2 linked regions of the Bombyx mori genome follow. The protein of the gene in region 1 interacts with the protein of each later gene in a pairwise test. Links are inferred from orthologs where the notes say so. Each region holds a gene or a part of one and is shown in the gene's direction. Other genes may lie near its edges.

Region 1 (4,596 bases):
AGAAGCGCGCGCTCTCTTTATACCGCGCGCCCGCCGGCAACATGCGACAAACACACGCGCCTGTCGCATACAGCCTGCTCACTTTTACTCGAGATATTTCTCATACTTTACGACAAACGGACAAATCCGATATTAGTTGATCGCGCATGTGACCTCCTTATATTATATTATAAAATTATACAAAGGACAGCGACCTAGTTTCCATTACATACTTCTCCATAAAGTTTGTACTGAGGGGTTAGAACGCGTAGATGCAACGAGTCTGGTAAGCTCCCTCGTTCGGGAAGACCTCGTGCGTCGCTGTGTAGACGTGGCCGATCCCACAGACAGGTTCCGGTGTAATTAAAAAAAAAACCCAATGTTCTTTGTATGGTACAAAATTCACACAATAATACAGTAGGTGCTTGTTGAATAAAACAGTTCATTCGATTGTAACGTTATAAATGAATTTCTTAAGCGACATTTTCAGACTTGTAGGTAATTGTTAAGTGAACGCCCTGTACTCGTCGACTCGCAACACATCGGTTTATTTATTTGTTTACACAAATATTTATTATACATTTTATGGTGACTGATTGAAAAATATTACAGTTTCAATTTGTCATTATATTTTCTTTTAATCAATGCGGGAGTGAAATCGTTTCGCTTTTTGCAAGTTTAATATTGGAGACATTTAAGAGATATGTACAAATTACAAGAAATTAAACAAAATATTAATTTATGGAAATGAGAGAAGTTGCACGTCGAGTGCTGGAGGCGGGGCGGCGGCCGAGCGCGCAACTTCACGTATCGTTACATAAGCCGATATCGATAAACAGAAACCATTGTTGCGCATTTGATGGTTTTTTTTTTGTCATTTACGTAATTGCTTACTCTTGGAGCTGCGCGTTAGAACAGTTAACGAAGGAAGCATGTGGTGGCGCAGGGGTACCGCATGGAGTGTCCCCCGGGCTGCCCGGCGCCCGTCTACGAGCTCATGCGCGGCTGCTGGCAGTGGAGCCCCTCCGAGCGGCCCTCCTTCCGCGAGATACACCACGCGCTCGAGCACATGTTCCAGGACAACTCGATCACAGACGGTGAGCGCCTCGTTACGCAACATGTACTCGTACTAACAGCGAGCGGCTGCTATAGATGTCAACGGTGTGTTTCAGAAGTAGAGAAACAACTCCAAGAAGGCAGCGGCGCGCAGGCCGCCGGCACCCCGCTGCTGTCGCTGAAGAAGACGAGCGCCGACCCTCGAGCGGTGCAGATGCGGCGCCCGACCAACCGCCGCGGCAAGCAAGCCCCCACCCCTCCCAAACGCACTAGGTAGCGCACCCGACCACAAGTAACTGAACACGACCCCCGCCACTCATCGACATACTCATCGACCGCGTGTTGCAGCCTGCTGTCCTCGTGCAGCTCCTTCCGCGAGTCGCAGTACGCCGCCGACGAGCACGCGCCCGACGACGCGCCCGCCGACGCGCTCGCCGACCTCAACGGTCAGTGTCTCACGCAGCGTCACGCGCCGTCACGCACTCCAACAACCGATATAGTGCAATAGTACGCCTCCGCTGTACACGGAGGATATTCATTACGGAATGAAGCGGCCATCGCTTTGTTTGTTTTTAGGTTCCATGTTAAAACTCATACCCGGCTTACTTGACGCTATAACGTTATTCGTCTAAATGACGCACTACAAGTATACCGACGCGACCCACGCGACCCACGTGACCCACGTGACCCACGCGACCGAGGGCGACTTTGTAGTGCGGTACTTACGCACATAGCTCAAGTCTTTTTTTTATTTTTGAAGATTGAATATTTTGGCACTTTGTACGACTGCCAGTCTAGTTCACAGAATAATGGTCCTCACACTAAAAGACGCAGGTATTGTGCATAATGGTCAGTTCATTCAGAATCTTCTTGACGGCAATGTATAAATAATATTAGATGCGGTTTAACTTACATACGTTTTTTAAATTTTATATTTATTTTAAAAATTATATAATTTCTAAAATGAAATTGACAAAAAGAACAAAAATACAACAAACCGCACGCAGCTCGAGATAGGGATCAGAGACCTTCATGGAAATGTTCTTCAAATTTGTAAGAAGAGTACTCATGTTTGTTAAAAGTGTACACACCGTCAATTATGCTTTTTGTTATAATATTTTTATGTACAAAAAACTAAAGTCAAATGTCCTCAATGTCTGTACGTATTGTACCATAACTCAATCTTCGGAAGTAAGATAGAATATAAGACGAGTAGGCTCTGAGGCCGCGCGCCGGCGACACACTGCTCTAAGATACTGTTTTCTGTTTGCCGTGTCTCGGTGCAGCGGCCTAGCGCTCGGAGCCCGCGCTCTGTAAGTATTCCACGGCACCTGCTGCTCTAGCCCTATCCCTGCTTAGTGTAAGATGTAGCTCCTCACACTCGAGTCTGTGTCGGCACCGCGCCGCGACCTAGTCTGCATGCTCCGTCCGGCGTGCAGTAGGAAGGAACGAGCGCCGCCGAGCCGTCCACGGGTCGTCAACAATGAAATTTGTAGCATCGCCAACATTAACAGCCTGCTAGCTGGCATCGGCGCAGTATTTTGACGCTTAGTTTTTTAATTTTTTCATCGAACAGTCACGTATGCTCCCTGTATATTCGTACATATGTACTAAATCAATATTGAGATGTTTGATTGTGATGTGAGTAATGAGTCTAAAAGGGTTCTATACATCATTAAGGTCGTACATGACTCCATCCTGTCTGTGAAACTGAAACAACTTCGACCCGGCTGTAATCCCTCCATCCTTAAAAAAAAGACTAGGCTCTCAATGCTACGCAGGAGACAGTATCTTTGTATGCCAAAAGAAAAGTCCACTGTCTGTCTGACGCCAACAGAATAAAAAACAGATTAGATAAAACAAAAATAACCTTACTTAAAATGACAATATCTGGAAATTTTGAATATATCATTTGACACTAATAAATACATATAAACATTACTGATATTTAAGTTAGGTCCGCTTCTTGACATTGTCTCAAACTGCTGGCACAATAATAATTCACTTAACTGTAGATTATAATTCAAAATTTTAAGTTAGATACAAAATGAGGAAGCGTAGGTATATTGCAACACGGAGCTGCGTTGTTATACGCGAACATTGAGGAACCGAGAGTAAAGGATCACTCTCATCCGCTCTGTCGTTGTCACGTTGTAATTGTTATGGATACTGGTGACGCTATTTGTGACAACCTGGGCGACTTAGACTTCCCACGTGTTCTCACAGCAGTTGAAGTGAATCTACTCGGCCTACTCGCAAAGAAAAATAATAAGAAAATAAAAAACAAGTAGCAGTATGACTCACCACCAAGTGTCTGCACTGATAACCCTAATGCTATCAAACTGACTAAGTGTAGGGAGGGTGGTCTAGTCCCCGTGTGCCAGCTCGAGCAACTGGCTAACGAATCGACTACTGCGCGATAAACGCACGGTACCAACCCACTCGACTGCGCCCCGCATCCTCTGAGTCTAGCCCTCTACGTGACATTTTTTTTGTGATTTTGTCAGCTGCTTAGCAAGAACAACTTGAGTTCCGACAATGCTAATGTTAGTGGACTGCGTCGACGCTGCGAAACTGGCAAACATTGTGCATTTTTCTACAAATTTCATAGTTGACGAATAGTATTTTACTTGATCTGTTCATTTTATAGTTTTCCTGATTTGGGATAGTTTAGTTTAGATTTGGTGAAATAGTGAAGTTATAATCCTTTTTATATTTTTCCCTCAATATAAATAATTACGTGACTTGAAAATAGCATGCATTAATTTTTGTACCTACTTCCAAAGACAATAATACTTCCGGAAACTGTACATCTATTCTTCTCACTCTTTACTTTTGTCGTGCTACTGAACTAACCGCGTGCAGCCTTGTTGCAAGATTGATATTGGACTAGATTTTACCCGCGGCCTTACTCGAGAATAGCACTTTTGTCCTTTCGTGTACCCACCCCTGACAACGCGTATGCAAAATTTCATGATGTTCACTTAAGTTGTTACGTCATGAAAGTATAAAAATAAACAAATAACGTCACTTTCGTATTAAAGTAATAGTATGGGTAACAAGTAGGATTGTGAGAGTAGAGTAGTAGAAGGGAACAGGCCAACGAGGAAAGGAAATTCATCTTGCTCTTTAAGCGCTGGCCACACTATGGGCCGAGCGATTTAGTATGATTAGTACATTGTGCACCAAAGGAGAAAAGTAGGACATTTCCTCCCGCGTGTAAAATGACAAACACGCGGGATGAGATGTCCTACTTTTTTACCGCGGTGCACATACTATTTTTTCTCCTACCAGGCCGAAAGTTCATGGAGTACCGAGCCGGGGTCCAGGGGCGAAACCCTGGCCGGAGGTAGAGGGGCGTGCCCCCCCTCGTGCGGGCGGGCGTGCATGTTTACTCGCGGGGTCCCTTGTGTCATTCCTGTACTGTTCAATTCAAGACATGACACAATGTTAGTAGACGTACCAAAGACAAGTGCGGTATGCCATGCACAGTTCATAATGTGCAAGACGCATCGGCGCATACCCATATATATAAAAAAAAAAACTGTAGTTCGCCGGATT
Region 2 (5,084 bases), on another chromosome or scaffold:
AGACTTTTTCCCCAACCTATTATTTTTATTTGCTTTATATAAACAGCTACATAACATTATATTTTTAAACAATGAAGTATTATTATCTCCTCTGTCTACAGGCTGTTTCTTTTCTCTTTTTGGTTAAGAAAAATTATAAGATTTTGATTTTTTTAACACAAAACAGTTAATTGATATTTTTAGTATTGTTCGTTGATCTATTTTCTTTTTTTTTTCAGTAGATATTTACGAGCAATTTATACTCTTTAAATTTGGAAATATATGTTCTTTTTTGTTCCAAAGACACCTAGACACTGGGAGATAGTAGAAAACGCAGAATAGACCCACTTGAAATGTGATTCTGGAGAAAAACTCCGGATATCGTGGACTGATTTCGCAACAACGAGTCTATTCTTGAGGAATGAAAATAATGAAACGCCTCTCCTGCACGTTGCAGGCTCTTATCTGGCCTCTTTTTCTGGATATGTGTCACGGATCTTTCTATCGAGCTCGTGATGGTGCGGGGCAGGGTTAAGAGTGTTAAGCCGCACGATAGATCTCGCGTAAGGAGGACTGGCCAGGTCAAGGCTGCAACCTCTCTTGCATTGCCCTCTACGCGTAAGATTTAGACGCACAGCTATAATGGAGATTTTTTATTGCCTTTTTTGATAGGTTGACGACGAGCTCACAGCCCACCTGGTGTTAAGTAGTTACTGGAGCCCAAAGACTTTTACAACGTAAATGCGCCAACCACATTGAGATGTAAGTTCTAAGGTCTCAGTATAGTTACAACGGCTGCCCTACCCTTCAAACCGAAACGCATTACTGCTTCACGGCAGAAATAGGCAGGGCGGTGGTATCTATCCGTGCGGATTCACTAGAGGTCTTACAATCAGTAATTACACAAATTTTAATTATGCTGGTTTGATTTTTATTTCACGATGTTATTCCTTCACCCTGGAAGTCAATCGTGAACATTTGTGAAGTACGTATTTCATTAGAAAAATTGGTACCCGTCTGCGGGATTCGAACACCGGTGCATCGCTAGATACGAATGCACCGGACGTATTGTCCTTTAGGCCACGACGACTACAAAGTGGACGAGTGGCGGGATATTGTTCAGCTTACTATCAACTACTACCTATCAACACCACTTAACCACTTAAGATTGGATGGATTAGTTGATTTGCCCATCTAAAAAAATCGATCTTAATTATAAAAAACTCTAAATCTGTAATGAGTTTCATCGACGTCACCCTTACCGACGCTACCAGGGTTGCCCCGAAGAAAAAAATACAGAAAAGTAAGGTGTATATTACCTAATTTATAATATCGGCTTGCTAAATAATAATAATAATAAAACTAAAACAAAACTATAATTGCAACAACAAGGCTTAGATCTCTATTTTTAATACAAGCTTAAATACAAAATTATGTCGAATGTTTAATTAAAATTATTATAATAAGTACCAAGTCAAAATAATTCATCAAACATATCAACATTATTAAAGTGACAGGGAAAATAATTTTCATACGCAAATAACGCGTCTCGACGCTGTCGTCAGCCACTTCTAAGATAAAGACATAGACATAAATTAAACACATCATTAACATAACCAACCCCTTATTTCGCGAAATAATTTTATTATAATAGATAATTTAAAACTGGCCGTTTCCCCCACCGCCGTGGGGTTAAATGAGGAATGGGCGGAGCGTGAATTAAGACTATACAATAAAAAGCTAGGCGTCTCTGTCGCACAAATGAGCAGTCCTAAATTCAGTAAGCGGCTTACAATGGGTGTCGACACTTTATGGCATCTCTTTCTCGCCAGGGTGAGCGTGAATAGAGTCGTCTCGATGGCCCTTCATAGTTATAAGGTATACCGTAGCAGCGGAGGTCCACGTGAGATTCTATTTTGTAATCAGTGAAGTGGCGCCTTTATACCGGACTGGAGGCACGATGTTCGCGCGTTTGACAGTTTGACGTTTTGTTCGGCGGGAAAATCGTTTTACGAGTTTTCACGGGCACAAGAACTATTTATCGTAAAGCCTTAATAATTTGCTTAATTCGTTATTAGTTTAGTAAAGTGATGTTCATGCCGACCAGTTGAAGAAGACTTTAGTTATTGCTGTTGCAATAACTCGGATTTTTTGTCTAGGTAGAAGTTAAGGTATGTGTTCAAATATATTTAAAATATCAAATATCTTGAAGCTTACAAAGTTGGTACTGAGATTTCTTATAAAATTAAGCAACATATATTGACATAAAGAATTTTACATTATCAAAATTAAGAAATAATCACATCGGAAATCTTCAGACCCGATAAACCGCATATCAACTTTAATAGTAATCTATTTTATTTTAGTATGAGTAACATATATGAAATTTAATAAAACACTATTTACCAAAATTGTAGATTTTCAAGCTTTATTATTAACCAATTGTATATTCAATTATAACCCCCCATGAAAACTAGTGGTCTCTGAAAGAAATAAAATCATAAATAGTATTATGGCATTTTGTTAGTAGATCCATTGTTGAAGATTACAATTTTTAATTACAAAACAAGAACATTTAACTGTTAGGGCTTCAAATAAAATACCAAATTAATTTAAACCAAAAAGTGTACTATACGAGAATCTCCGTAGATTCCGTAATTCGTTTTGTGTGATTTATTTTATTACATTTATATTGATTTACTTTATATTCCATTATTCACGGGAGGGTCAAGATGAACAGGGTTGTGAGTGGGAATTAAACTAGTTTTATTGCTATATCAATAATAATAATATTTAAAAGAAATTCGGATACAATTAGTAGTTAGAAAACTAAGCCGAATAAATATTAGTACTTAGGATGCTTAATGTCTTTTAATTTTGTTTTTAGTTTTCTAAAAGTCGTGACATAAAGAGTAGTTATAAATGATTGATAGTCATTGAATTTATCAACATCAACCACGCTGTCTAAGTTCTCAGTTCGGGTAACAGCTTATGAGATGGGCTCTAAGGTTGTCTGTCTGTCCGAATAACTAAGTTAAAACTGCTCACTTATTCGACTGCAAGTAAGGAAACGATTTACGCGAAAACGCTTTTGGGTATTACCTTCATTTACGAATTTTTTCTCGACAAAACTATAAATTATCCATTAAAAATACAACCGTAACTAGGTTATTTCGAAAAACCTTCAAAATCCGTCCAATTCAAGGGCGTGATTTCAACGCTCATAATGACGAAGACGGCCTATCTGAGCTTAGTATTTTACAGCAAAGTGCCAAACAGTGCTATAAAAATCTCGCTTCGAATAACAAGAAATTCTGATTCGGTGGTAGATTCCGAGAATCACTGATCTTGTTAAGGCTAGTGTGAACAAACTCTCTCAGTTTTAGCCCGTGAGCTCACCTAGATGTTCAAACGTAGCTGGAATAACCTCTTAAGCTATCAGCGTGTAAGGGGCTATTCTATAGGCTACATGGGTAAAAATAAAAAAAATAACAAAGCTAGATACACACACTTGAATACATATATACATAATCAAAACGGTATTGTATACTTACTATATATAAATTTTTTTTTAATTAAAATATTTTATAGGCGTAAATTTATCGTCCCTTAAACCAAATACTTACCGATAATGTACTTCTCTTTGATGTTTTTTTTCTAGTGGAACTTTTATATTGTTTATTTGTAGTCGTCCGTTTCACAGACTTTAATTTTCCTATAGTTGATTCCAAAGTCGTAATATTGTATTTAACATCAAAATGTTTCGCTGTAGTAACTTCAAGCATAACTGTATTATTAAACACCGTTGTTAAATTGATGTTATTTGTGCTAATATTTTCTTTTTCTGGTGTCGAATTTACAGAATGCTCCGCAATTTTGGAAACGGTTGTGAAATCGAAGCCTTTGATATCAGTAGAAGCAGTAGTAGAAGCAGCTGATCGCGCTTTCGAAATTTCTTCATCATTTGTTATAGTCTCAACAGCTTCATAAATTTTTGTTTTCCCAGTTGACTCCGAGGTGATAGTTGACGGTTTTGTTGGAGCTTGCGTAATGATTTCGGCTTCTTGACGTACCACATTCATACTGATAGCGGTTGCTGCGTCAACATTTTTTATAACTATCGTATTCTTACGTAATATTTCTTTAGTATTATCTGCTTGTGTTCCCTTTTTTGTTACTTCTGATTTTACTTCACTTCTCTTGATTAGTTTAATGTGTTTGGTATCATTAATAGCCGTTATTTTAGTTTCCAGACTTTTCAATCTATAAACATTGGGCTTACTGGTACTTTGCATAGGTGAATGTCGCAAAGCTCTGTCTGTGAGTAATTTCTTAAATTCGTCAATACCCATAAAGGTGTGTGGTATATTCGTTTCGACCGGATTATCTATGTATATTAGGGGTTTATTTTCAGCTTCACGCGATATATGAAGATTGTGCTTTTTGAAACCATTAACCTCTTTCAATTTTTTCACGTGTACTTTGTATACTTTATTGTTCTTGTACAGGCGTCGAGATGCGTCATTGTCACTTTCTTTAACTGGTAAACAAAGAGTTACTATAACAGTTTTTTGTCGATCGCTTCTGTGATGTTGTTCTATTGAATTTCTTAATCGCATGAACTTTCGACACCGCGCTTATAACAATAAGATCTTTTAATTTTATTAATATCTTGCCTTGACTTGGCTTTTTATCGTTTATGAGTAGCAGTAATCACCGGTACATCATAGGAATGTCGAGCGTCTTACTTCGTCATCATCATCGGCCTATATCAATCCAGTGCTGGACATAGACTTCTCCAATTGCTCGCCACTGAGCATGATCCTTGGTTTCTCTCATCCAGCTCTTTCCACCCTGCACAGATTATCACTCCACCGTGCCTAAGGGCGTCCTGTACTGCGTTTGCCAATTCGCGGTCTCCACTTACTTACTATCAGCCCAAAGAGATCCCCTGCTGGACATAGGCCTCCCCCAAACCTCGCTACATTTGCAATTAAATATGACACGCGTATTGTGCAATCAATCTGCACTATTATAGCGTATATTTTATGTTTATCATTGACATGATTTTCATGGGTTGGTGTTTGTTAAAAAAAAAACTGTAG

The links.
Region 2: the proteins of tyrosine-protein kinase Abl (region 1) and paired box protein Pax-6 interact in binary tests that used the Caenorhabditis elegans proteins (3 or more experiments, as listed by UniProt). The link is inferred for Bombyx mori from reciprocal best matches to the Caenorhabditis elegans genes abl-1 and vab-3.

The regions. Positions count from the first base shown.
Region 1 is NC_085107.1:85,327-89,922, reverse strand, and holds part of tyrosine-protein kinase Abl, read left to right. Parts: exon of another isoform or gene 1-38; intron 39-925; coding exon 926-1,076; intron 1,077-1,151; coding exon 1,152-1,308; intron 1,309-1,383; coding exon 1,384-1,481; intron 1,482-4,596. UniProt on the Caenorhabditis elegans protein: Functions downstream of migratory protein mig-13 and is involved in Q neuroblast migration during larval development.
Region 2 is NC_085120.1:4,528,951-4,534,034, forward strand, and holds the start of paired box protein Pax-6, read left to right. Parts: upstream 1-1,759; 5' UTR 1,760-2,150; intron 2,151-5,084.